Macaca mulatta: one gene and its partners. The main gene of each other region encodes a partner of the protein of the gene in region 6 in a complex. Links are inferred from orthologs where the notes say so. Each region holds a gene or a part of one and is shown on either strand. Other genes may lie near its edges. The genes, in order: TMEM231, AHI1, B9D2, TMEM216, TMEM107, TCTN1 and CEP290.

Evidence for each region.
Region 1: TCTN1 (region 6) and TMEM231 share a complex: the UniProt entries of both Homo sapiens proteins name them as parts of the tectonic-like complex. The link is inferred for Macaca mulatta from reciprocal best matches to the Homo sapiens genes TCTN1 and TMEM231.
Region 2: TCTN1 (region 6) and AHI1 share a complex: the UniProt entries of both Homo sapiens proteins name them as parts of the tectonic-like complex. The link is inferred for Macaca mulatta from reciprocal best matches to the Homo sapiens genes TCTN1 and AHI1.
Region 3: TCTN1 (region 6) and B9D2 share a complex: the UniProt entries of both Homo sapiens proteins name them as parts of the tectonic-like complex. The link is inferred for Macaca mulatta from reciprocal best matches to the Homo sapiens genes TCTN1 and B9D2.
Region 4: TCTN1 (region 6) and TMEM216 share a complex: the UniProt entries of both Homo sapiens proteins name them as parts of the tectonic-like complex. The link is inferred for Macaca mulatta from reciprocal best matches to the Homo sapiens genes TCTN1 and TMEM216.
Region 5: TCTN1 (region 6) and TMEM107 share a complex: the UniProt entries of both Homo sapiens proteins name them as parts of the tectonic-like complex. The link is inferred for Macaca mulatta from reciprocal best matches to the Homo sapiens genes TCTN1 and TMEM107.
Region 7: TCTN1 (region 6) and CEP290 share a complex: the UniProt entries of both Homo sapiens proteins name them as parts of the tectonic-like complex. The link is inferred for Macaca mulatta from reciprocal best matches to the Homo sapiens genes TCTN1 and CEP290.

The regions. Positions count from the first base shown.
Region 1 is NC_133425.1:70,906,483-70,910,657, reverse strand, and holds the start of TMEM231 (transmembrane protein 231), read left to right. Parts: upstream 1-1,375; coding exon 1,376-1,514; coding exon of another isoform or gene 1,515-1,608; coding exon 1,609-1,778; intron 1,779-4,175. UniProt on the Homo sapiens protein: Transmembrane component of the tectonic-like complex, a complex localized at the transition zone of primary cilia and acting as a barrier that prevents diffusion of transmembrane proteins between the cilia and plasma membranes.
Region 2 is NC_133409.1:40,570,889-40,574,388, reverse strand, and holds part of AHI1 (jouberin), read left to right. Parts: coding exon 1-477; intron 478-3,500. UniProt on the Homo sapiens protein: Involved in vesicle trafficking and required for ciliogenesis, formation of primary non-motile cilium, and recruitment of RAB8A to the basal body of primary cilium.
Region 3 is NC_133424.1:52,507,080-52,511,222, reverse strand, and holds the start of B9D2 (B9 domain-containing protein 2), read left to right. Parts: upstream 1-1,343; 5' UTR 1,344-1,557; intron 1,558-1,651; exon of another isoform or gene 1,652-1,728; intron 1,729-1,971; 5' UTR 1,972-1,975; coding exon 1,976-2,063; intron 2,064-4,143. UniProt on the Homo sapiens protein: Component of the tectonic-like complex, a complex localized at the transition zone of primary cilia and acting as a barrier that prevents diffusion of transmembrane proteins between the cilia and plasma membranes.
Region 4 is NC_133419.1:12,654,266-12,658,390, forward strand, and holds the start of TMEM216 (transmembrane protein 216), read right to left. Parts: upstream 2,801-4,125; 5' UTR 2,781-2,800; coding exon 2,768-2,780; exon of another isoform or gene 2,754-2,767; intron 2,214-2,753; coding exon 2,112-2,213; intron 1,563-2,111; coding exon 1,470-1,562; intron 1-1,469. UniProt on the Homo sapiens protein: Part of the tectonic-like complex which is required for tissue-specific ciliogenesis and may regulate ciliary membrane composition.
Region 5 is NC_133421.1:9,692,387-9,696,419, reverse strand, and holds TMEM107 (transmembrane protein 107), read left to right. Parts: upstream 1-1,233; 5' UTR 1,234-1,325; coding exon 1,326-1,412; intron 1,413-1,588; coding exon 1,589-1,656; intron 1,657-1,739; coding exon of another isoform or gene 1,740-1,757; coding exon 1,758-1,858; intron 1,859-2,695; exon of another isoform or gene 2,696-2,794; intron 2,795-2,961; coding exon 2,962-3,058; intron 3,059-3,303; coding exon 3,304-3,373; 3' UTR 3,374-3,628; downstream 3,629-4,033. UniProt on the Homo sapiens protein: Plays a role in cilia formation and embryonic patterning. Requires for normal Sonic hedgehog (Shh) signaling in the neural tube and acts in combination with GLI2 and GLI3 to pattern ventral and intermediate neuronal cell types.
Region 6 is NC_133416.1:117,801,403-117,804,902, forward strand, and holds part of TCTN1 (tectonic-1), read left to right. Parts: intron 1-2,360; coding exon 2,361-2,481; intron 2,482-3,500. UniProt on the Homo sapiens protein: Component of the tectonic-like complex, a complex localized at the transition zone of primary cilia and acting as a barrier that prevents diffusion of transmembrane proteins between the cilia and plasma membranes.
Region 7 is NC_133416.1:95,330,402-95,333,901, reverse strand, and holds part of CEP290 (centrosomal protein of 290 kDa), read left to right. Parts: intron 1-197; coding exon 198-305; intron 306-521; coding exon 522-656; intron 657-1,851; coding exon 1,852-2,118; intron 2,119-2,745; coding exon 2,746-2,853; intron 2,854-3,472; coding exon 3,473-3,500. UniProt on the Homo sapiens protein: Involved in early and late steps in cilia formation. Its association with CCP110 is required for inhibition of primary cilia formation by CCP110.

The DNA of each region.
Region 1 (4,175 bases), on a different chromosome or scaffold from region 6:
TTGGCCTCCCAAAGTGTTGAGATTACAGGCATGTGCCACTGCGCCCAGCCATTCAGGGCCATTTGATGAAGAACTTGGCTGTGGACCATAGTTGTTTTTTTTAAAGTCCTTCTACCATGTTCGAAATATGGTTGGGGGCGGTGGGGGGTGTAAGCATTCAATTAAGCAATATGCCAGTGATCTCTGGGGAGGACCACAGCTTCCTATAAAACTCGCCGCTGAGCTTGTACCCAACACAGGGTTAACAAAGTGCATCAGAGCTTTGTAATATTCCACTCTATCCCTCCAAGAGCCAGGGGATTTGTGTTTCCGTGTCTTGTCTTGCATTGGAGCATAGTGGAAGCAAGAGAAAATCTGGGAGCAAAGACACCTGGCTTTGGTCTTAGCCCAGGACCAGGTCCAGGACCGCGGCCAGGCTTGTGACTGAGTGGATTTCAGTAGGAACTACACTGGGGATTAACAGATGACACAAAAGCAGGTGTTTGTTGTGTGCAGGAGCGCGAGGGGAGAAGAAAAGGCACACACACAATACCTTTAAGGGTAAGCAAGCTTTATCCCACGTAAATGGCAATGCAGATATTATAATAAGCAAATTAATATAATAAGCAGATTGATATAAGCAAATTGCAATGGGAAGAGGAGAAGGAAAAAGACATATATATATTTACACTCATCAGACTATGGAGGATTCACCTCCAGACTGGGAAGCAAGAGCCTGAGCTCCAGAGCCGGCCACTCTTCAGTCAGTGCCCAGATGAGAAGAGGTGTCATGAAGCTTTGGGTGGTCTGGGATCCTAGCTCTTTTTGTAACATGTTGTCTGACATGAGGCCCAGTCACGAGGGCCCTTCGTGGCTGGGCTCAAGGAACACAAAAAGGTCAACTTGTTTTTGTGATTGTTGTTTTTCAATAACTAACGTATAGGAATAGAACGAAATAGAGATTTCTGCGAAACAGCGCTGGATGAACGCCTCAAGGGGCTCCCACAACCTGTTTCGGAACTTGGTGACCATTGTTTGTGTCCATGTCAGTTCAAATTTAAATATTTAATTTTTCCTCCTCAGTGTTCAAGTCAACTTTTATGGGCATCTTATTTTACACAAATGTTAACACAGACAACAGCCACGACTTTGGTCCACGGAAACGTTCTATCGCCGCCCAGCCTTTACGCAAAGGGACACAGCTTGAAAAGCTAGGCCGGCAGTCCCCGGCGGCGCCACGCCCGCTAACCCCGCCCTCGCCGCTGGCTCCTTTCGGTCTGGCCTTGCTATTGGCTCCTTTCCGGGAGCCGTCGGTTGCCGTGGAGACCGAGGCGATGGCAACCAGGAGAAGCCAAACTTGGTCCTCCGGCTCGCGGCGTGCCGGCGCGCGGTGCTCATGGCGCTCTACGATCTCTTCTCTCACCCGGTCGAGCGCAGCTACCGCGCGGGACTCTGCTCCAAAGCCGCGCTGTTCCTGCTGCTGGCCGCTGCGCTCACGTACATCCCGCCGTTGCTGGTGGCCTTCCGGAGCCACGGTGAGCCTGCCCCAGCCGCTGTGTCACGCGACTCCCCGGGCGCGCTCGGCCGGGGCCGGCCTCCCTGACGGCCTCCCCACCTTCTTTAATTCAGGGTTTTGGCTGAAGAGGAGCAGCTACGAGGAGCAGCCGACCGTGCGCTTCCAACACCAGGTGCTGCTCGTGGCCCTGCTGGGACCCGAGAGCGGCGGGTTCCTCGCTTGGAGCACGTTCCCCGCTTTCAACCGGCTGCAGGGGGATCGCCTGCGCGTCCCGCTCGTTTCGGTGCGTGGTTCCCGCCTGGGCCTGGGGCAAAGCGGGCGGTGGGGTGGGGACGGGGACGGGAATGAGGATGTGGGGCGAGCGGCCCCGGCCCTGGGGAACCCAGCTTGGATCCTAAGGACTCGCGAACCCGCAAAGGTGGCGTTTCATCTCCTGGGACCTAGGGAATCGATTTTCTGTTTCATTCTGCTTCTCCCAGACGTCCCCGGCCCCCAGAAAGTTAGCCACGCTGTCAGCATATGCGCCCTGATACAGAGTCCAGAGGTGTGGAGGCAGCCTGCGTCTGCCCCCGTCACACCCGCGGGCCTGGCCTGATGGAGGGTGTTTGTGAAAGTCCATTTAGGAGCCTTGAAGGCAGCGCGCTGTTAATGTAGGTAACCCCATTCTGTCGCGGCGTTTCTGCATCACACCACTGTAGGAGCGGAAAGGGCGGCATTTTTATGGAGCCCTGACCCCTGGAAACCAAGGCGCTGATTGGTTAAGCGGCCTTCCCAGAACGCGCTATGGCCGAGTCACGCCTCCCTGGGTTTGTCCCATTGGAGACTGCGTCATCCTGAAGCTGTCGGGATGAAATTGAAGCATGTTACTGTCTGTAGTTTATTTATTTATTTTTAAATTTTTCATCAGTAGAGTGCTGAGAGGAATCTGTAATTTAGTATTTGCTTTGAGATAAGCGAATGCTTCCTTTATAGTCACTCCTTTTCACTCATTTTCTGAAAACGTTTTCCTTTAGAAGTATGACACTTACGGTTTTCCTTCTTTCAAAGTTGAATCTCTTCAGACATCTCTAAGATGATTGCCCTACAAGCCAACCTTGTATAGCTGAGGAGAAAAGAAAATCAGACTTGTTCCCAGCAACTAAATAAAATTGTTTTTAAAAATCCGATTGGGCCGGGCGCGGTGGCTCACGCCTGTAATCCCAGCACTTCGGGAGGCCGAGGCGGGCGGATCACGAGGTCAGGAGATCGAAACCATCCTGGCTAACACGGTGAAACCCCGTCTCTACTAAAAATACAAAAAATTACCAGGCGCGGTGGCGGGCACCTGTAGTCCCAGTTACTCAGGAAGCTGAGGCGGGAGAATGGCGTGAACCCGGGAGGCGGAGCTTGCAGTGAGCCGAGATCGCGCAAGTGCACTCCAGCCTGGGCGACAGAGCGAGACTCTGTCTCAAAAAAATAATAATAATAAATAGAAATAAATTTTTAAAATCCAATTGGTCATATAAATAACTGCAAAAAAAAAAAAGAATAGTAATAGGTTGGCGCAAAAATAATTGCGGCTTTTGCCATTAAAAGTAGTGGCAAAAAAACCGGAATTACTTTTGCAACAACCTAATATGATTCAGGTTACTTTTCTCCTGTTACTTTACGAATGTTCTTATGTTCTGATTACAAAAGTGCATGCTCATTCTAAAATAATATAGAGTTACAGGTAGATATAATGACCAAAATTGAAGGCCCAGTTTTGTATATGTATCAATACTTATTAATCAGCCATATTCTTTTTGAGGTTTGTTTTGACTTTTTCACTATTGGGGACAACATTTCTTTTTTTCTTTCTTTCTTTTTCTTCTTTTTTTTTTTTGAGACGGAGTCTTGCTCTGTTGTCCAGGCTGGAGTGCAGTGCTGCAATCTCTGCTCACTGCAACCTCCACCTCCTGGGTTCAAGCAATTCTCGTGCCTTAGCCTCCCGAGTAGCTGGGATTACAGGCTAATTTTTGGATTTTTAGTAGAGAAGGGGTTTCACCATGTTGGCCAGGTTAGTCTCGAACTCCTGACCTCAGGTGATCCACCCGCCTTGGTCTCCCAAAGTGCTGGCATCACAGGTGTCAGCCACCGTGCCTGGCCTAGGGACAATATTTCTGTGAACAAGGTTTTGACTAAATCGTATGCCTTTAAACATCAGATTGTGAGGAATTGGAATAGCAGCTCTTTGATGAAATTAGGTAAGTACATAGAAAACTAAGCAAATCATTATTAACTGCAGGGAAATGAAAAGTAAGGAAAACTGAGAACTGAAAACTTATGAGAGTTGTGAATAGGATTTACATAGTCTTAATTATATGAACACTGAATGTTGACTAAAAAGAGATTTTAACTCTGTTGGGGGTAATGAGAAAGGTATTGAGAATGTGATAGGGGATGGTGGGAGGAGTTGGGGGAGAGAAGAAGCTAAATCATCTTTCCTTGTGGGAACTCAATAGAGAATGCCTAAAACTGAGAAATTGAGAATTTTCAATGCAAATGTTATCTCAAGACCTGGAGATACATTTCTAAATGATCAAGTAAATGAGATAAAAATATTTGCAGCTAGATATGATAGCTCACACCTGTAATCCTAGCACTTTGCAAGGCCAAGGCAGGAGGATTGCTTAAGCCCTGGAGTTCAAGGCCAGTGTGG
Region 2 (3,500 bases), on a different chromosome or scaffold from region 6:
GAAGACCATGAGAGTCGCTAAAAACAAATCGAGGAACACACAGTCAGCAACTGAAAATCCTAATGATGATGTTAGTGTAGAGGAAGACAAACAAGGAAAGCCAAATAAAAAGGTGGTAAAGACGGTGTCCCAGTTGACTACACAAGATATGAAACTGGAAACTCCTGAGAAGGAAGTTGATTCTACACACCAGAAAGCGCGTACAAAGCCACAGCCAGGCCTTGATCATCAGAAAAGTGAGAAGGCAAATGAGGGAAGAGAAGAGAATGATTTAGAAGAGGACGAAGAACTGATGCAAGCATATCAGCGCCATGTAACTGAAGAAATGGCAAAGGAGATTAAGAAGAAAATAAGAAAAAAACTGAAAGAACAGTTGACTTACTTTCCCTCAGATACTTTATTCCATGACGACAAATCAATCAGTGAAAAAAGGAAAAAGAAAAAGAAAGTTCCAGCCTTCTCTAAAGCTGAAACAAGGTATTTTTACATTGATAAATGTAAAATATCCTCTTAGAAAAACACTCTATTATTATCAGGGTTTGAATATTATCTGTGGTTTAACAAAGAAAATTCTTAGGCTTTTATTTGGAGACATTGCCACTAAGATAAGAACACCTAGCTTTTACTAACACCTTACTATGTACTAGGTGCTTTACGAGAATTAACTCATTTATTTCTTATGACAATCTTATGAGGAAAAGTAATATTCTTCCTATCTTGCTGATGAGGAAACTGAAGTACAGAACTAGTAAGAGGCTGAGCCAGAACCTTGTCTCTATCCTGAACTACTCACTTACATCTGCTTTCTTTTTTTTTTTTTTTAATTTATTTATTATTATTATACTTTAAGTTGTAGGGTACATGTGCATAACGTGCAGGTTTGTTACATATGTATACTTGTGCCATGTTGGTGTGCTGCACCCATCAACTCGTCATTTACATCAGGTATAACTCCCAATGCAATCCCTCCCCCCTTCCCCTCCCCATGATAGGCCCCGGTGTGTGATGTTCCCCTTCCTGAGTCCAAGTGATCTCATTGTTCAGTTCCCACCTATGAGTGAGAACATGCAGTGTTTGGTTTTCTGTTCTTGTGATAGTTTGCTAAGAATGATGGTTTCCAGCTGCATCCATGTCCCTACAAAGGACACAAACTCATCCTTTTTTATGGCTGCATAGTATTCCATGGTGTATATGTGCCACATTTTCTTAATCCAATCTGTCACTGATGGACATTTGGGTTGATTCCAAGTCTTTGCTATTGTGAATAGTGCTGCAATAAACATACGTGTGCATGTGTCTTTATAGCAGCATAATTTATAATCCTTTGGGTATATACCCAGTAATGGGATGGCTGGGTCTTATGGTACATCTAGTTCTAGATCCTTGAGGAATCGCCATACTGTTTTCCATAATGGTTGAACTAGTTTACAATCCCACCAACAGTGTAAAAGTGTTCCTATTTCTCCACATCCTCTCCAGCACCTGTTGTTTCCTGACTTTGTAATGATCGCCATTCTAACTGGTGTGAGATGGTATCTCATTGTGGTTTTGATTTGCATTTCTCTGATGGCCAGTGATGATGAGCATTTCTTCATGTGTCTGTTGGCTGTATGAATGTCTTCTTTTGAGAAATGTCTGTTCATATCCTTTGCCCACTTTTCGATGGGGTTGTTTGTTTTTTTCTTGTAAATTTGTTTGAGTTCTTTGTAGGTTCTGGATATTAGCCCTTTGTCAGATGAGTAGATTGCAAAAATTTTCTCCCATTCTGTAGGTTGCCTGTTCACTCTGATGGTAGTTTCTTTTGCTGTGCAGAAGCTCTTTAGTTTAATGAGATCCCATTTGTCAATTTTGGCTTTTGCTGCCGTTGCTTTTGGTGTTTTAGACATGAAGTCTTTGCCCATGCCTATGTCCTGAATGGTACTACCTAGGTTTTCCTCTAGGATTTTTATGGTGTTAGGTCTAACATTTAAGTCTCTAATCCATCTTGAATTAATTTTTGTATAAGGAGTAAGGAAAGGATCCAGTTTCAGCTTTCTACTTATGGCTAGCCAATTTTCCCAGCACCATTTATTAAATAGGGAATCCTTTCCCCATTTCTTGTTTCTCTCAGGTTTGTCAAAGATCAGATGGCTGTAGATGTGTGGTATTATTTCTGAGGACTCTGTTCTGTTCCATTGGTCTATATCTCTGTTTTGGTACCAGTACCATGCTGTTTTGGTTACTGTAGCCTTGTAGTATAGTTTGAAGTCAGGTAGCGTGATGCCTCCAGCTTTGTTCTTTTGACTTAGGATTGTCTTGGAGATGTGGGCTCTTTTTTGGTTCCATATGAACTTTAAAGCAGTTTTTTCCAATTCTGTGAAGAAACTCATTGGTAGCTTGATGGGGATGGCATTGAATCTATAAATTACCTTGGGCAGTATGGCCATTTTCACGATATTGATTCTTCCTATCCATGAGCATGGTATGTTCTTCCATTTGTTTGTGTCCTCTTTTATTTCACTGAGCAGTGGTTTGTAGTTCTCCTTGAAGAGGTCCTTGACATCCCTTGTAAGTTGGATTCCTAGGTATTTTATTCTCTTTGAAGCAATTGTGAATGGAAGTTCATTCCTGATTTGGCTCTCTGTTTGTCTGTTACTGGTGTATAAGAATGCTTGTGATTTTTGCACATTAATTTTGTATCCTGAGACTTTGCTGAAGTTGCTTATCAGCTTAAGGAGATTTTGGGCTGAGACAATGGGGTTTTCTAAATATACAATCATGTCGTCTGCAAACAGGGACAATTTGACTTCTTCTTTTCCTAACTGAATACCCTTGATTTCTTTCTTTTGCCTAATTGCCCTAGCCAGAACTTCCAACACTATGTTGAATAGGAGTGGTGAGAGAGGGCATCCCTGTCTTGTGCCAGTTTTCAAAGGGAATTTTTCCAGTTTTTGCCCATTCAGTATGATATTGGCTGTGGGTTTGTCATAAATAGCTCTTATTATTTTGAGGTACGTTCCATCAATACCAAATTTATTGAGCGTTTTTAGCATGAAGGGCTGTTGAATTTTGTCAAAAGCCTTTTCTGCATCTATTGAGATAATCATGTAGTTCTTGTCTTTGGTTCTGTTTATATGCTGGATTATGTTCATTGATTTGCGAATGTTGAACCAGCCTTGCATCCCAGGGATGAAGCCCACTTGATCATGGTGGATAAGCTTTTTGATGTGTTGCTGAATCCGGTTTACCAGTATTTTATTGAGGATTTTTGCATCGATGTTCATCAGGGATATTGGTCTAAAATTCTCTTTTTTTGTTGTGTCTCTGCCAGGCTTTGGTATCAGGATGATGTTGGCCTCATAAAATGAGTTAGGGAGGATTCCCTCTTTTTCTATTGATTGGAATAGTTTCAGAAGGAATGGTACCAACTCCTCCTTGTACCTCTGGTAGAATTCAGCTGTGAATCCATCTGGTCCTGGACTTTTTTTGGTTGGTAGGCTATTAATTATTGCCTCAATTTC
Region 3 (4,143 bases), on a different chromosome or scaffold from region 6:
AGTAAGCTGAGATCGCGCCACTGCACTCCAGCCTGGGCGACAAGGCGAGGTTCCATCTCAAAAAAAAGAAAAAAAAAAACTAACAAAAATCCAAAATTATAAGGAGGGGGCAACATTTCAGTAGGATAACATTTATATTAAACAATTCACTGGAATATTTCACTAGTTGATATATGCATTATTTTGTTATTTTTGTAGAGATGGGGGTCTCACTATACTCGACCTTCTGGCCTCAACAGCTCTTCCCGCCTCAGCCTTCCAAAGGGCTGGGATTACAGTCATGAGCCTAGCCAAGGGTGGCTTTTAAATACTCGTGTCTATTGGCCTGGCTGGGTGGCTCAGGTCTGTAATCCCGGCAGTATGGGAGAGCAAACTGGGAGGCTAGCTAGAGCCCAGGAGGTCAAGACAAAGGCTGGGCAACACAGCAACACAGCAGGACTCCATCTCTTAAAAAAAAAAAAAAAAAGAATTAGCCAGCCGTGGTGGCGCATGTGTGTGATGCCAGCTACATGGGAGGCTGAGGTAGGAGGATCCCTTGAACCCAGGAGTTCAGAGGCTGCAGTGAGCTGTGATCAAGCCACCGTACTCCAGCCTGGGTTACACAGTGCGACCCTTTTATGGAGTCTTGATGGGACCTGATGACTGGCTTGATGTGGGAAATGATGGCATCTATGATGGCATCCAGGGACATCTCCATTTCTTGATTGAGAAATCAATCAATAGAAAAGAGGATTTTCTGCAAATAAGGGGATCCCAGTTCCTCATTTCTCTTCGCTACCCCAACGGTTCCTTGCTCAGACTCAAGCAGTTTAACAGTGAACTTGGTAGTAGCTTGGTAGAAGTTGGGTAAGTCCAACTTCCTTCCTTGTCCTTGAAAAACCTAGGGGAACTCTAAAACGGAAGCAGAACCCACTCCCCAATTTCTCCACTCTCTGTGAATGAGGAGTGATTTTTTTTGCTTTGTTTTCCAGTTATGAGGTAGGGGATGTACATGAGGTCCTGGAAGGAATTCCTCCTTGGTCATAGTTCAGTCTCTGATTTGTGATCCCGGACCATAGAGAGCTCTTCGGTGGGGTCCTCACGCAGCACGGAGCAGTTACGGATTTGCTTTTTTTGGTAAAGAGGACATCTGGGAGAAACTGCACTCAAACTTCCTCAGCCACACTCAACATGGCAGCTTCCTAGCCACGGCCAAAATGGCGGAACCCTTTGCCGTAGCTGGAGAGACGCTATTTTCCCAAAATGGAGCGAGAGGAGGAAAATGTCCATCACAGTTTCACCCCGCCTCCCGGGGACGGCTAACACCAATCAGTGGCGCGGAGGGCGAGTACAAAGCCAGGGGAGGAGCCTGCTGTTGCTCCAGCAACAACCACGGAACCCAAGGCGAGCGCGGACGCGGAATATCGCGGATTCCATTTCTCGCAGCCGGGAAGGTCCTGGGAAAGGCGCGAGCCAGGCCTGGTAGGCGCCCGCGGAGAAAAAAACGAGTCAACTCAACCCCATGAACTACAACCCCCGTTGCCGCTTTCGCCCCTCCTAACCGTTAAGTGCGCTAAGGTAGGAATAACGCATGCGCTGCGCTTGGAGGCGTGGCTAAGTCGGCCCGGAACTCAACGCATGCGCCTTATAGAGCTTGCTGGGTGAGGGAAGCGGGGTGGCTGACATGACGCGGAAGGCGGGTCTTTTCGCTCGTGGGCGGGGCTTTCCGCTGACCTGAACCCAAAGAAGGTATTTTAGACCTCGCAGAGTTAAATGCTGGTTCCCCCCAGACAAGGGTCCCCCCATTTTTTCCAGGCTTTCATGGGTTGGCAATTAGGATCTGTGGTCAAGACCTCAGCCTCAGGGGTGTGAGGAAGCTAGCTTGGAATCCTAGTACTACCCTTTACTTGCTGGGCCTCAGTTTCCCCTCCTGTCAAATGGAGATAATATACTTACCTCACAGGGTTGTGATTATATTTTTTCCCATCCCAGGGCCATGGCTGAGGTGCACGTGATCGGGCAGATCATGGGGGCCAGCGGTTTCTCGGAAAGTAGCCTGTTCTGCAAGTGGGGCATTCACACAGGTATTCCCCCAGGCCTGGTTAATTTCCACACCAAGACCCCTAGCCTAGAGGCTGCATGCTCCTTCCTCGACCTGTTAACGCAGCGCCTTAACCTCATCTTCCATCAGCTCTCTGTACTCCAGGCTTAGCCCACACCCTGTCCACGTGAGTCTCAAGCTCCCATCTGTTTTTTCGTTTGTGCAGGGGCTACGGACAGGGTCTCTCTCTGTCGCCCAGGCTGGAGTAAGGTGGTGTGATCATAGCTCACTGCAGCCTCGAACTCTTGGGCTCTAGTGATCCTCCCACCTCAGCCTCCTGAGAAGCTGGGCCTACAGGCACGCACCACCAAGTGTGGCTAATTTTTAAACTTTTTGTAGAGACAGGGTCTCGCTATGTTGCCCAGGCTGGTCTCAAACTCCTGGGCTCAAGCAGTCCATCCGCTTCAGCCTCTCAAAGTGCTTGGATTAAAAACATGAGCCACCACATCCCAGGAAAGTAATTTTGTTCATGCTTCCCCAACTGAGGCCCTGTAGAGTCATGGTATAGTGTAATGGTTAGGGCCATGGGCTGCCAGATCTGGATTTAAATACTAACTCTCCCTTCTATTAATTGGAGACCTTTGGACTTGACCTCTCTGAGCCTCAGTTTCCTTGTCTGAAAGTGAAGCTAATAGCAGCCAAGAAGCAGCACAGGTTTGAGGTTAAGAGCACAGACTGCCTGGGTTCAAAACTAGTTATTGCTTGTTAATGCACTCTTGGGCTGATTATGTGACCTTGGGCACTTCTCTTCACCTCGACTTCTCTGTTTGTACAATGAGAGTAATAGAAATATTTACCTGTTGAAGTTGTCATGAGTACTAAACAAATATCAACAGCACTTAGAATAGGAATAGGGCTGGAATATGAAGTGCCCATTCAGTGTTTGCCTGGCTCATACAAGACTTTGATGGGGTCTTGTTTGTAAAGCCTGGGGTATGTGGTTGCCTGGCACAGATAAATGTCCATGAAACAGATGTGGCCATTTGGCATTATCATGTCTTCAGGCCTGAGTCTTAGTCCCTTTTTTTTTTTTTTGAGATGGAGTCTCTCTCTGTTGCCCAGACTGGAGTGCAGTGGCGCAATCTTGGCTCACTTCAAGCTCTACCTCCCAGGTTCACGCCATTCTCCTGCCTCAGGCTCCCATGTAGCTGGGACTATAGGCACCCGCCACCATGCCCGGCTAGTTTTTTTTGTATTTTTAGTAGACAGGATTTCACTGTGTTAGCCAGGATAGTCTCGATCTTCTGATCTCGTGATCCACCTGTCTCGGCCTCCCAAAGTGCTGGGAGTACAGGCGTGAGCCACCGCGCCTGGCCGTTTTTTTTTTTTTGAGACAGAGTCTCACTCTGTCGCCAGGCTGGAGTGCAGTGGCACAATCTCGGCTTACTGCAATCTCTGCCTCCTGGGTTCAAGTGATTCTCCTGCCTCAGCCTCCCGAGTAGCTGGGATTACAGGCGTCCACCACCACACCCAGCTAATTTTTGTATTTTTAGTAGAGATGGTGTTTCATCATGTTGGCCAGGCTGGTCTCGAACTCCTGGCCTTAAGTGATCCGCCCGCCTAGATCTCCCAAAGTGCTGGGAGTACAGGTGTGAGCCACTGCCCCTGGCCTCTGGTCCTTTTTGATTCTACAGGTAAGTGAGGTAGAAGTTGAGATTCCCAGGAAATCAGGACCCTCCAGTTGATGGAAGAGAGGCAGACTCTGGAGTCAGACTTGGTTTCCAGGTTCCACGCCACCACTCACCTTCTCTGTGACCCTGGGCAGATGCCATCCCCTCTTAGAACCTCAGTTTCCTCATCTGTTCTTCATAGGGCTGTTGGGAAATCTTGCTTTTAAGCAGCCTGACTGAGGGCCTGGTGCTTCCCTCACTCAGCCCAGAAGGGAGTAATGACTAACCTGATTTTTATTACTTCAGGGAGTTGCTGGGGGTGTTGACCCAGCCAAGAATACTGAGGCAGTTGGATGAACGGCTTGGGCTCTGCAGTTAGAGCTGAGTCTGAATCCAGTTCCATGATGGGACCTTGGTCTGCTATAGTCACAGCTATGTCACCAGCATGGAAAA
Region 4 (4,125 bases), on a different chromosome or scaffold from region 6:
GTAAACCCGGGAGGCAGAGCTTGCAGTGAGCTGAGATCCGGCCACTGCACTCCAGCCTGGGCGACAGAGCAAGACTCCGTCTCAAAAAAAAAAAAAAAAAACCATTTATTTCAGGGATGACATATTCTAACAAATAAGGGTTTTGCTCTGTATTTCTGGGATTATAAAACTTGTCCTACAGGGCAAGCATGTTGGCTCACGCCTGTAATCCCAGCACCTTGGGGAGGCCAAGGCGGGAGGATTGCTTGAGGCCAGGAGTTTCAGACCAGCCTGGGCAATGAGGCAAGACACTGTCTCTACAAAAAACACAAAATGAGCCAGGCATGATGTTGCATGCCTGTGGTCCCAGCTACTCAGGAGGCTGAAGTTGGAGGACTGCTTGAGCCCAGGGCTTCAAGGCTGCTGTGCGTTATGATCGTACCACTGTACTCCAGCCTAGGTGACAGAATGAGATCCTGTCTCAAATAAGTAAATGTTTAAAAAACAAAATCCGGTCAGGTGTGATGGCTCACACCTATAATCCCAGCACTTTGGGAGGCCAAGACAGGTAGATCATGAGGTCAGGAGATCGAGACTATCATAGCCAACATGGTGAAACTCCATCTCTACTAAAAATACAAAAACTTGCCAGGCATGGTGGTGGGCGCCTGCAGTCCCAGCTACTCAAGAGTCTGAGACAGGAGAATCGCTTGAACCCGGGAGGCGGAGGTTGCAGTGAGCCGAGATCGTGCCACTGCACTCCAGCCTGGCAGACACAGTGAGACTCTGTCTCCAAAAAAAAAACAAAAATCCGGCCAGGTGCAGTGGTAATCCCACCACTTTGGGAGGCTAAGGCAGGCGGATGACAAGGTCAAGGGATGGAGACCATCCTGGCCAATATGGTGAAACCCCGTCTCTACTAAAAATACAAAAATTAGCTGGGAGCAGTGGTGAACGCCTGTAGTCCCACCTACTCGGCAGGCTGAGGCAGAAGAATCGCTTGATCCCGGGAGGCAGAGGCTGCAGTGATCCGAGATCGTGCCACTGCACTCCAGCCTGGCGATAGAGAGAGACTCCATCTCAAAAAAAAAAAAAAAATCCTACAGAGATCCTTATTCAGAGTATTGTTAGGGATCTTAGTACTGATCTGTGCAGGATATGCTGCCTGCCCTGACATGGAGCTACAACTGAACCTGCTCCCCCAAGAATACTAGTGAGAAGAACCAGGCACTCCTTTTGCTGTTAGGCAGCTGGGAAGGAATCATCTAATATCACATTCTATTGCCCATCTCTAGCCTTACAGAGCAACAAACAGGTAAATCCTGACCCCAATGTATGAAGCAGCAACTTGAAACTTCAGAGAGGGAGTAATGGGATATACAGATCCAGTCTCTGATAGTCAACCTAGGTGATGTACTTTTCTTGTTAATCAAGTTAGAGATACCAGCTTGTCTCATAAAGAGTGGAAATATTCTCTGGACAACACTCACCAAAAAACAGGCGAATTACTTCAATTCCAAGATAAAGGAGGAGCATCACCACATCCAGTACTAGGTTAGCTGTTGGATATGGTAGCAGAACACCTGCGAATACAAAAGCCAGTGTTTGCAAATAGCATAAAACAGCATCCACAAGAACTGCCACACACTTGAGACATCAGTCTCAAGGACATCAGTCTCAGCTTTCCATGAGCTAGTGAAATGTGGGCATTATTACAGCTGCAGGATACATAAACTCACAGTGCAACCCAGGCTCATTATTATGCCATTTTACTCCTAACTCCAAAAGACTCTGGGGACTCCTCTCTCCAGAATGAGTGGATGCACATGGGTACACGGGCCACTGAATAGTTTCTAAGGGTCATCAATGGGCTTACAGTGGAGCTCAGCAAAGACCAGTGATGTGGGCAGAGTCAGAATGGAGAAGCCCACATTTCCCAAACTCAAGAAATTCTTGCTGAGGGGATGCCATACTCATACTCAAAGAAGCCATCTGATGAGGAGGCCTGCCTTGCAGCGACAAAGAACCGCAGGGGGCAGAAAAGAGCGGAAAATAAGAAGGTTCTTGGTCGGAGTTGGCTCTGAGCTGAAGTGGGGAAGGGGTGCTGTCGTCAAGCCCCATGCCTTCCTTACCTTTATACAGAAATATGAAAAGTTCCAGCAAGAAATAGGTAGCATTATACCACGCGTTCAGAAAGAACAGGATTTCCAGCGGGGTGGAGGACAACCGTTTACCTGAAACAGCAGCACAGAAAAGTGGGATGGGCAGGAAGGCAGCTCCCTCTCTGCTCCTATGGGTTGGTGTCTAACTGGGGAAACCAGACGCCGCAACTAATGGGACCGGCCACCCAGGGGCACTTCTGGTTGCTGATAATGAGGGTACGGGGTGGATGTGGAGGAGGCTTCACTCGTTTCCCAGGAATCACCGCGAAACTCGACTCTTCGGCTTCAGGAGTAAAAGTTAAGAGGTAACTCGCAGCTGACAGACATCTCAAAGATCTCACCCTGTCACTATTTGGGAGGGGAAGTTGGGGCGTGGAGACCAACAGATTCGTACCTGAGCCATCCTAGAAGTGGCCCAGCCAAGGATCTGCGGCTATTTGACCCACGCACCTTGAAACCTTCAGGGACCCAGGGTGGGCGGGTCCGCGGAAGCCCGCTTTGGACCAGGGAGGCGCGATGTCCCTAACGCTACAGAATGGAGGGTTTAGGTCAAGCTCTGGGACAGAGGTGCGAGGGAGGGATCAAAGGGAAAGGGACCAGCGACTCACACACCTCCGGAATCTCACCTCGCGGCGCCATCTTCAGTCCCCGTGGAAACTGCGTACGCTGCCACAGCTGCTCCCGGAGCAGCGCGCCGCTGCCGGAAACAGGGACTGAGCGGCCGGGGTTTCCGGCCCCTCTGCCCGCCCGCGGCACTCTGTGGTCACCCGGAGCGGGACGAGCTCGGGCCAGGCCGCAAGTGGCCCTCGCTCGGATGTCCCCTCTCCAGACCTAAGGGAAAACAGTGACCGCCCACGACGCCGTCGTCTGCAGGAGCTCGGGGTTGTGGGGTAGGACCCTGGAGGCCCTTGGGCTACCGGGCGTTGGGCGGAAGTGGCCAGTTGTGACAATGTTACCAGGAGACTGGCAAATAGGTCCTACTCCCACGATTCCCATTTTTCGACGGAAGACGAGAAACGGTGTGAGCGACGGATCTCTGCAAATGCGGGATGGGAGTTAGCATTGGTCTTTTCTGCGGCCTATTTACCTACCAGGTAGAGACACTAGGGAAATAGAGCGTCCTTTCCAGGAGCACACGTAAATAAACTGAAACGAGTCACCACGCGATCCCTAAAGTGGTGCAGTGGGAGCTGAGAGGACAAAGTGCTCCCAGGTGGAAATCTAAGTCAGTTTCCAAGAGACGGGCTTCAAAATGTGAGCTGGGCTTCAAAGCCTGCCTGATTCGGGTTTGCAGCGGTAAGAGCGTGTTGCTGGCCGGGCTTAGTGGCTCACGCCTGTAATCCCAGCACTTTGGGAGGCCGATGCGATGGATCACCTGAGGTCAGGAGTTCGAAACCAGCCTGGCCAACATGGCGAAACCCCGTCTCTACTAAAAATACAAAAATTAGCCAGACGTAGCGGCGCGCGCCAGTAGTTCCAGCTACTTGGGAGGCTGAGGTAGGAGAATCGCTCGAACCCAGGAGGCGGAGGTTGCAGTGAGCCGAGATTGCGCCACCACACTCCAGCCTGGGCGACAGTGAGACTCTGTCTCAAAACAAACAAAAAAACAAACAAAAACGTGTTGCTGCAGGCGGGGAAGTGCAAAAAGAAGGGTTTTGAGAGGACTCAGGTTGACTTGACTTGGCTGTTAGCCCGTTGTCAATCAGGGTAAAGCCGGAAACAGATGGCACGCTCCAACCAGGTAACCTGAGGAAGGTGACTAGGCTTTATTTTATTTATTTAATTTTATTTTTGAGACGGAGTTTTGCTCTTGTCACCCAGGCTGGAGTGCAATGGCGCTATCTCTGGTCACTGCAAGCTCCACCTCCTGGGTTCAAGTGATTCTCCAGTCTCAGCCTCCCAAATAGCTGAGATTACAGGTGCCCCCCACCACACCCAGCTAATATTTTTTTGTATTTTTAGTAGGGACGGGGTTTCACCATCT
Region 5 (4,033 bases), on a different chromosome or scaffold from region 6:
GCCTCCCAAAGCGCTGGGATTACAGGCGTGAGCCACTGTGCCTGGCCCGCGTATCCCTGTTTGTAGCACCTATTATCTTACGGATTTATTTGTTTGCATGTCTGTTGTTGATCTCCCTGACTAGAATACTATTACTAGGTAATAAATAAATATATAAAAATATTTGTTGAAGGAATGAGAAATGCCTCTTGGGCTTGTACTTTAGTCTGGCTAAAGGCACTGAGACGTCGAGTGGGAAGTAGGAAGATATTGTTCTCCTGGGAAATGGGCCGGGAGTTTCCTTGAGGATGGGACTTGACTGAGCAATTAGAGAAGAACTTTCAGATCTGCAGGGACCTGCGCTGAGGCCCAAAGGTCATGACGTCGCCGGTGATAAGAGCTTCCTGGACTGTAGCTGGGCAATGTCGGAGGTCCAGCACCTCCAAGAGATAAAGAAATCTAAGTTGAGTTTCCCTTCCCGTAGGCTCCAAGCCTCCCAGAGACGCAGGGACTGTACCATTCCCTTCGTCCACTCCCACCTTTCCAGCCACCTTGCTTTGCTCTTATTCCCACGCTAGTTTAAGGACGCTGACCACTTTTTGCACTCTGCAAATCCTTCACCAAACTGAGCAAAGTAGTCTGAGAGAAATCAGTCTTCCTCAAGGAAGGTTCAGGCCTAGGGTCCTCAGACAACCAGGGGCTCTGTGACAATCTGTAACTGCCGAGCAGTCCAGGAACACCGGCCTCTCCACGTTCGGGTCCCTTGTTTCTCAGGCCCAGCTTGGTGGGAAGTTAAAGGCATGAGGAGAGGAGGAAGGGGAGCGGGTGTGAGTCTTCGGCATGGCGGGGACCTCAGCCCGGCGTGGCGGTGGGAGTGATCTCAAGTGATCCACAACTGGGCAGCGTAGCTGGGGCTGGGGGCCGCTCCCGGCGTGGGCAACCGCGGAAGCAGAGGTGTCCCCAGGCTAGGCCAGGGTGGGTTTCCGTTCGTCGGCCCTGCGTGGGCAGATCGGGCGCTGCGGGGCTGTGCCACCCCTCACCCTCTGAGAAACAAAGGGCCTGGCTGCGCACGGGTACCCAGCCATTGGGTTAGAAGCTCCTTCGGGTACCCCTGACCTGAGTTAGCCCTGAAAGACCCACAGCAGATGGAGAATGTACTGCTCTCGCGAGGTTTTCCGAGAACGCGGCAGCACGCCCGCGTACGCGGTTACCAAGGCAACTGGGCGGTGCCTGAGCTGGCGGAAAGGAGGAGTTCGTCTAGATTTGTCCGCTTGCTGGTGGACTTGCGGGAGTCGCAGTCTCTGAACTTCCAGCCTCAGAGACCGCCGCTCTTGTTCCCAAGGGCCATGGGCCGGGTCTCAGGGCTTGTGCCCTCTCGCTTCCTGACGCTCCTGGCGCATCTGGTGGTCGTCATCACTTTATTCTGGTCCCGGGTAAGACCCACGGCTGCCCTCCGTCCGCCCCCATTCCCATCTCGGAGTCGTCCCCGCCCCACCCTGCCCCTCTCCCAGTGTCTTACCCACTTGGGTTTTCTCGTGTTCCGCCGTCCCTAGGCCTGCCCAGCAGCCTGCCCCTTTTTCACTTCTCTTCCTCTCTGCCCTGCTCCCAGGACAGCAACATTCAGGCCTGCCTGCCTCTCAGGTTCACCCCCGAGGAGTATGACAAGCAGGACATTCAGTGAGCTCTTGGGACGGGGTGGCCAGAACGAAGAGGTGGTGGGAGTGGAGGGGTCTTAGAAGAAGTCCAAAGGCCTGGGCCAGTCCACTTCCTCTCTGCAGGCTGGTGGCCGCGCTTTCTGTCACCCTGGGCCTCTTTGCAGTGGAGCTGGCCGGTTTCCTCTCAGGAGTCTCCATGTTCAACAGCACCCAGAGCCTCATCTGTATCCTTTCTGCCTGCCCACCTTTCCCACACGACCCATTTCTATCAGGACTCCCTTCAGCCACCTGACACAATAGTGTCTGCTGTAGCCAGTCTCTCCAGTTCAAAGATCTTCAACCATGTGCTAAATCCTGCTGTTTACTAGGCACTTAAAATTCCGAAATGAGAGTAAAATACAGTTTTTGGCCAGGCACGTTGGCTCACGTCTGTAATCCCAGCACTGTGGGAGGCCCGCGCAGGAGGCAACATAGTTAGACCCCGTGTCTACAAAATAAATAGTAATAATAAAAACTCCACTTTTTTTTTTTTTAACCATGAGGAGGTAGATACACATCTGTAATTCAGTGTGATAAGCAGTGTGCTATGGGAGTGTGTAAAGATAGCACAGGCAGGGTGCGATGGCTCACGCCTGTAATGCCAGCACTTTGGGAGACCGAGGCAGGTGGATCACCTGAGGTCAGGAGTTCAAGACCAGCCTGACCAACATAGTGAAACCCTGTCTGTACTAAAAATACAGAAATTAGTCGGGCGTGGCGGTGCACTCCTGTAATCCCAGCTACTCAGGAGGCTGAGGAAGGAGAATTGCTTGAACCCAGGAGGCAGAGGTTGCAGTGAGCCGAGATCGTGCCACTGCACTCCAGCCTGGGCGACAGAGCAAGACTCTGGCAAAAAACGAAAGATATAAAGCACATTGGGAACTCAGAAGAGGCAACGGAAGCCAGGCACATGGGTCAGAGAATTGTGGACCAGGAGGACCAGGACACTGGAGGCTGATTCCAGCGCATATCAAGTCGCTGTCAGCACTCCTGTGTGGCATAGCAGGAGAGCCTACTCTTACCTCTCATCTGAAGGATCCAGGCTGGCCCCTAGATATGGAGTAGGGTAGCCTGAGATCCCATCTGCGCAGTCACTTCTGGTCTCTCCTCACATGACTGTCCTAAAATTCAGAAGTCGGGGATGCTGACTCTAGCCCTTGCAATATGGTGAGGGAGCAAACGATGAACCTGAATGCAGATGCCAACCCCACCACTGGCCTTTGGCCTTTTCTGACCCCTCACTATCTGTCGATCCAAAGACTTTCCTTAACTGTGGTGCCTTCTCAAGCCATTGGGGCTCACTGTAGTGCATCCGTGGCCCTGTCCTTCTTCATATTCGAGCGTTGGGAGTGCACTACGTATTGGTACATTTTTGTCTTCTGCAGGTGTGGTAGCATCCAATATTCGGGAATGAGGGAGGAAGGCTGACCCTAAACCTGAGGGTTTTTCCCCTACCCAGCCCTTTCCTCTATGTGGGAGATACCAGATCCACTTAACATCCTGTAGTCTTTTGAATTTTCATTCCCTACCCCATGCCACCTGTCCTACACTTTCAGGGGTGGGGTCTCTGGTTTGGAGATTTGGGTATTTATATTGAACGGGTTTCTGAATCTACCACTTGCCTCGGTAGTGCCCTTCCAGCTGTCACTGAAATGACTTTATTCGTCACCGTCTTTGGGCTGAAAAAGAAGCCTTTCTGAGCACCTTCATGACGGGAACCTAAGGACGAAGGCTACAGGGGCAAGGGCCGCTTCGTATTCCTGGAAGAAGGAAGGCATAGGCTTCGGTCCTCCCCTCGGAAACTGCTTCTGCTGGAGGATATGTGTTGGAATAATTACGTCTTGAGTCTGGGATTATCCGCATTGTATTTAGTGGTTTGTAATAAAATATGTTTTGTAGTAAGATTAAGACATATACAGTTTTCAGGGCACAATTGAAATGGCGAAACTACTGAAGAAAAAAAAAGAAGCAACGTTATTTTCTAGTTCTGCAGACCGTAAGATACTTGGTATCGCTTCTATTTTGGTTATTACGGTAGTTGTCTGGCGGAAGGGAGTGGGCGGAGATATGTAAATAGAAAGTGCTTACAGTTAGAACGTCCAGCACGTAAATGATCGGAGCATTCTGGGAAAAAGAAATTTATTCCTTTTCGGCAGCCGAACGAAAAAATTCTTTTAAAAATGTGCAAGCAAATATGGCAATACAACTGGAAGGATGCTAAGTAGTAGGGTTACTTATACCAACGCGTCGTGAACTCACCCTAGCTGTAAACGGAATCTTTTTGACTGAGTGCGGAATGTCGGCTATTTAGAAATATCGTCAGGTGGGATAATCCTTACCTGTTCCTCTTTTGGAGGGCA
Region 6 (3,500 bases):
GAACCTAAAGCACTTTTTATTTTTTACATTAGCATGCATAAGTTGTATCATTTTACTAAGCACATAGAAGAGTTCTCAATTAGAAGCACTCTAAACTTTAGGGGGAAAGCTTTTGTGTCTTAGACTAAGAAATTATCGTGTATTAACAAAACCTTCCCCTTCACCTCACACATTTTTTTCCAGAGTGCATTATACCTTTTATGGGGTACTTTTTCTTTTCTTTTTTTTTTATCACCCAGGCTGGAGTGCAGTGGCGCAGTCTCAGCTCACTGCAACCTCCACCTCCCAGGTTCAAGCAATTCTCCTGTCTCAGCCTCCCAAGTAGTTGGGATTACAGCTGTGCGCCACCATGCCTAATTTTTTTGGTATTTTTAGTAGAGATGGAGTTTTACCATGTTGGCCAGGCTGGTCTCGAACTCCTAACCTCAGGGGATCCACCCTTTTCAGCCTTCCAGAATGCTAGGATTACAGGCGTGAGCTATGGGATATATTTTTCTTTTGTTTTCTTTTTTCTTTCTTTCTTTTTTTTTGGGGAGGGGATGGAGTCTTGCTCTGTCGCCCAGGCTGGAGTGCAGTGGCACGATCTCGGCTCACTGCAACCTCTGCCTCCTGAGTTCAGGTGATTCTTCTGCCTCAGCCTCCTGAGTAGCTGGGACTACAGGTGTATGCCACCATGCCTGGCTAATTTTTGTATTTTCAGTAGAGATGGGGTTTTACCATATTGGCCAGGCTGGTCTCAACCTCCTGAGGTTGAGACTATGTCTGGCTGCTCTGGGGTACATTTTTCTAAAGCTCCTTTTTATCGTGAAATAATTCATACGTACAAAAAAGAATGTTGGGTGGACACTAGCAGCATTTGCTTCAGATTCCTTTTTCGTTATTTTTGTTTTTTGGCTTGAGTTTCTTTTTTTTTTTTTTTTTTAAGATGGAGTCTCACTCTGTCATCCAGGCTGGAGTGCAGTGGTGTGATCTCAGTTTACTGTAACCTCTGCCTTTTGGGTTCAAGTGATTCTCCTGCCTCAGCCTCCCTGAGTAGCTGGGATTACAGGTGCCCACCACCATGCCTGGCTAATTTTTGTATTTTTAAGACAGACAGGGTTTAACCATGTTGGCCAGGGTAGTCTCAAACTCCTGACCTCAAGTGATCTGCCCGCCTCCCAGAGTGCTGGAATTACAGGTGTAAGCCACCATGCCTGGCCTTGAAATCTTCTTTTGAAAAAGAAAACATTACAGATATGATTGAAGGTTGATCTTACTTCTTCCCTTCCAGCAATAATTGCAACCATAAATTCATTCTCTATTTTTTTAAAAGGGCTTTCTCTTCCTTATTTGACAGAATAAAATAGAGAATTGAAAATCCAGATAATCATTTTTGTTACAAAGCGGCAAAGAAAAATCATCCTTATTAATAATTAAAAGTTGGCCAGGAGCGGTGGCTCACGCCTGTAATCCCAGCACTTTGGGCAGCTGAGGCCAGTGGATCACTTGAGGTCAGGAGTTCGAGACCAGCCTGGCCAACATGGTGAAACCCCATCTCTACTAAAAATACAAAAAAAAAAAAAAAAAAAGCCGGGCATGGTAGTGCATGCCTGTAATCCCAGCTACTCAGGAGGCTGAGGCAGGAGAATAGCTTGAACCCAGGAGGCGGAGGTTGTAGTGAGCCAAGACTGCACCATTGCACTCCAGCCTGGGCAACAAGAGCTGAAACTCCTTTAAAAATAAAATAAAATAAAAGTTGTGACGTGGGGGAGATTCCTACCCTGCCCTCAAACCTTATTGTCTAAATCACCAAAGACATTCTGAGCACCTGAGCCGTTATGATTCTTGGCCAAGAATCTGTGAATATGAGTTCAGCTTTAAAGCAGCAGGTTATACATGAAGAGAGGGGCAAGGTTGAAAAACCTCTTTCCTGAAGGTTTAAGTGGGCCCTTCCTCTGACTCGTAATCTCCGGAGAAGAGGCTTAAGGACTTTGGAGTTTTAAACTGGTGGTTCTATGGTCAGGCAAATGGTTTAGGCGTGCTGGTTCTTAAACTTGTCTAATTATAAGTATCACCTGGAAAGTTTCTGAAAGCTGCAAATGCCTGGGTTTCGTATTCAGCTTATCAAATCAGCATCTCTGTAGGCAAAGCACTAACAGAACTTTCCAAGCGAGTCAGATCATTAGCAACTTTGGGGAAACCTCTAATTGTGGAATGCTCAAACTGACTCATTTCCACTTCACAAATTTCCCCCAAAATGCAATAGGAAAAATAAAATGGACCCTTTGTATGAAATTGACTTATGGTACACTGTGGTGGCAGGGGGCAGTCACCACCTGCTGATGGTGATGCTCTGGATCCTACCCCTCTTTTTTGTGCAGTTGCTGCTCTGTGTGTCTGTGACTTGTCCCCAGCACAGTGTGACGTCAACTGCTGCTGTGATCCTGACTGCAGCTCTGTGGATTTCAGTGTCTTTTCTGCCTGCTCAGTTCCAGTTGTCACGTAAGTTTACGTATGACACATGCAATTTTGATAAAATTTGACCAGGATAATACAATTTGGGGAAAGGGAAAACTTTCCCAGGCTTAAAAACCCAAACCTGATTTCCGGTGTTTTGCATCGTTCTGAAGCCATACTATCCAAACAAATATGTAAAAAAGTAGCTGTCCCTGGCCAGGTGCGGTGGCTCACACTGTAATCCCAGCACTTTTGGGAGGCTGAGGTGGGTGGATCACCAGATCAGGAGATTGAGACCATTCTGGCTATCACAGTGAAACCCCGTCTCTACTAAAAATCCAAACAAATTAGCCAGGCGTGGTGGCGGGCACCTGTCCCAGCTACTGGGGAGGCTGAGGCAGGAGAATGGTGTGAACCCGGGAGGCGGAGCTTGCAGTGAGCGGAGATCTCGCCACTGCACTCCAGCCTGGGCGACAGAGTGAGACTCGTCTCAAAAAAAAAAAGTAGCTGTCCCTTATCTGCATTCAACCAGGTGACTGTGCGGGCAAAAGAGAAGAGAGAATGTACATTAAAAGATTGTAATGAAACCTCTTTGTTTAGAGATTGAATCACATTTCAATTTGAGTTGTAAACAGACAGTGGTCACATTTTTTGTATCAGTGAATTAGTATAGCCTAGGGTGAAAAGTGCAGTTTAATTTCACAGCTTTTGTTGTGGACATAGTACTTGTAACAAAAAATTAGATAAGAAATCTTTTGTACTTTTCTGATATGTAAATCTACCAGGAATTCTCACAGTTCGCATTGTATAGAACAATGAAAAATGACATTCCCAGCTGATTATAAGGTAAAGAAATAATCTGTTCTGAATGATCTCTTATAATTGAGATTTCAAGCCTTTTTTTTTTTTTTTTTAATGAGGTGGAGTCTCGCTCTGTCGCCCAGAGTGGAGTGCAGTGGTGCGATAGTGGCTCACTGCAACCTCTGCCTCCTGGCTTCAAGCAGTTCTCCTTTCTCAGCCTCCCGAGCAGCTGGGACCATAGGTGCACGCCACAATACCTGGCA
Region 7 (3,500 bases), about 22 Mb from region 6:
ACTTCACATCTGCCTTTCTCTGTGATCTTACACAAGTTACTTCACCTCTCTGAGTTTGTATTTTTTTCCACAAAAGGAAAATAATTACAGTATCTTCAATGTGTTGTGAGGATTACATAAGAAAATATATATAAAATGCCTGTTATGTGCCTGATGTCTTTGTATATATGTCTGACATAAATTGTCTTTCTTTTTAGTTTCATGAAGAAAGACAACTGGCCTGGGATCAAAGAGAAGTTGACCTGGAACGTCAACTAGACATTTTTGACCGTCAGCAAAATGAAATACTAAATGCAGCACAAAAGGTATGAATGATGAATCTTGTTTGCTACTCTGTAGCATAGACTAGAGGGTTAGCTCACAGAAATGATTCCTGTATCAGATGTAATTTTAATTGGTTGTTATATTGTCTATTTAAAATATGAGTGATTTAATCTATATTTTATCATACAGCTATAAATATTAATAGTTACTCTCAATGCTGCCACTGCTTTGTTAAAAAACATACTATTTGTTAATAGTTTGAAGAAGCTACAGGATCAATCCCTGACCCTAGTTTGCCCCTTCCAAATCAACTTGAGATGGCGCTAAGAAAAATTAAGGAGAATATTCGAATAATCCTAGAAACACGGGCAACTTGCAGATCACTAGAAGAGGTAATTAGAAGAATTTGCATTTTGATTATTACTTGGTATTATTTGGTATGTTTGGGGGGCTTTCTAAATAATATTTCTTTATGAGGACAATGCATAGAATGATGAATCTCTTGCTAATTTCACTGTTTTTCTATTCTCCTATAATGTTTCTAATAGCTGATAATGAACAGCAGATATAGTTAATTTGAATTCACTATTTAATTACTTCCTGTTACCTTTAGGTACACTGAATATGAAAGGAAACAAAAAGCATTTAATTGTAGCTCTATGAGCAGTATATTATCTTCCCTTATATGATCTCTTTATTCTTATTTTTTTGGTTTTCCTTTGAAGTGCATGTTATATAATCTATGAATCAGTTTTCAGTTCATTCCCTTTTATAAACTTCAGCCCTTTAAAGGGCTGAAGGTAAATTAGAAATTACTTTCTGTTTTAACCTAGTTCTTGAATTTGATTAGTAGGTGATCAAATCTGTCATCTGCATTAAATTATTCAGAAAATAATGTAAACTGAATATGATTTTCATTTTAGTTTTCATCTAAATATATTAACTACAAATACATTTAAAAATATACATAAAGGAGTTTTCAAGTAAAACTGTACATTTTTAAGTAAAACTTAGATCTTCTTCAGTAATTGTAAGATTTGTCATTTATGTGAATTGCCATTGAATTACTTAATTTAAAATACCCACCTTAATCCTCTTGAAGAGTAAAAATGTTTCTGATTTTTTCTCTTTTGTTTTAATAAGCTGCAGATTTTATAATAGTAATTTATTGACTTGGGCCACTAAAATTCCAGTTTTGTACTTAACTGACTTATAGATTAGTCTTCTAATGCTCTGCTAGTCAATGGACCAAAATAAAAGAAATAATTTATTACATATTCTTCCTAAATCTCATACCACCACACTTTTATAGTTCTTAACTGTAATATCTTGATAAAGTACCTTAATTAAATTTTATTTTCATCATAACAATGAAGTTTCTAACATATGTAATATTCTTATAAATAAGCATGCAAATAACTGTTGTCAATTAGAATTAGTTTAACCTTATTAAATATCAAATGGCTATTGTACATATGATGTGAAAAATAAAGTGAATTTTTTTTTTTTTTTGCTAATAACTAATCTAAAATTCAGATGAAGGAAAAAAAGATACTTTAATTATCTATTGTGATTTAATCATTGCAGAAACTGAAAGAGAAAGAATCTGCTTTAAGGTTAGCAGAACAAAATATACTGTCAAGAGACAAAGTAATCAATGAACTGAGGCTTCGATTGCCTGCCACTGCAGAAAGAGAAAAGCTCATAGCTGAGCTAGGGAGAAAAGAGATGGAACCAAAATCTCACCACACTTTGAAAATTGCTCATCAAACCATTGCAAACATGCAAGCAAGGTTAAATCAAAAAGAAGAAGTATTAAAGAAGTATCAACATCTTCTAGAAAAAGCCAGAGAGGTATTTTATTATGAGTTATACTGTTTCATGTATTAGTTTTTTTAAGCAAATGCTAAATATTTTACCTTAAAGTGGTAGTTATTTTCTTGCTTTCAAATGATTCTATTTAAGAACTGTGACTTGCATGTGATTGGATTACACCTCTATCAGTAAAACTGGCAGTTTGTGTAAATGTATCTCTCTTATACACTGACTAACTAAACCAGGAGTAGCTATCATGGTGAAATCACATGATTTTGAAAAATATTTTAATTTAGTTTATAGGTGAGGGTTGAGGCAATAGGGGGGAATGAAATATATCACACTGGTAATCAGTAGAAATCAGATTTGTTAGAACTTTGTGGGGGAAAGCTGACATTTAATTTTTTCTAGAAATAAGTTAAAAGATGATAGATACGTGTTATTCTAATGTTCAGAATAAATTATGAACTGAGGCTGGGCCTGTCAACTTGAACACTGTGCGAGGGAACATGCCTACCGGTCTAAATACATACATATATGGAGATACTGTTTCTTCCTCATCTCGAAGGAATTTTAGAAGATTAAAGAGAAAATATATAAGGTCTTCAAAATGTGAATTTATTTTAATCACAATTTAAGATATAGTTTTGATTTTCTTTAAAACAGGAGCAAAGAGAAATTGTGAAGAAACATGAGGAAGACCTTCATATTCTTCATCACAAATTAGAACTACAGGCTGATAGTTCACTAAATAAATTCAAACAAACAGCTTGGGTAAGATTCTAAGAACTTTGTTCCATTCTTTATTGATTTTTAGACCAAATACATTAAAATTCAGTTATCTTCTCCTTTTTTGGAATACAAGTTACGCTTTTTGTTGCCAAAGTAATCTTCTGAAAATGTAGCTCTGATCATTCTTCCTCCTGTAGCTCATCACTGTTCACAAAATTATATTTATACTCCTTACCCATATACTCAATCTTCTATGAACTTACCTGCCTTTCTTTTCAAATTCTATTCACTATAAGTTTACCTATATTTAACTTCCGGAATTCAGCTCATATTTGCCTCTTTTGACCATTCTGTTCCATATGTATGAAATGATGTGTCTTTCATCTTTTAATGTATAACCTTAGCATATTTGAGCCTTACTTCATTAATTCAGTCAACATTTATTGATCTCCTGCTACATGTAGACACTTTGTTAGCTATTGTAAATACAAAGAATAAGGTCTATATTTCCTGTCTTCTTTAAGCCTTCATTATCTGTTAAATCATTAAATTTTAGATTAGATATTGTATTTTGATCATTTGAAGAACCAATTTAAAAATATAGAATAAGTATGGCATTGAAATATACATGCCTGTTTGCTAATATATTCATATTTTATAGGATTTAATGAAACAGTCTCCCACTCCAG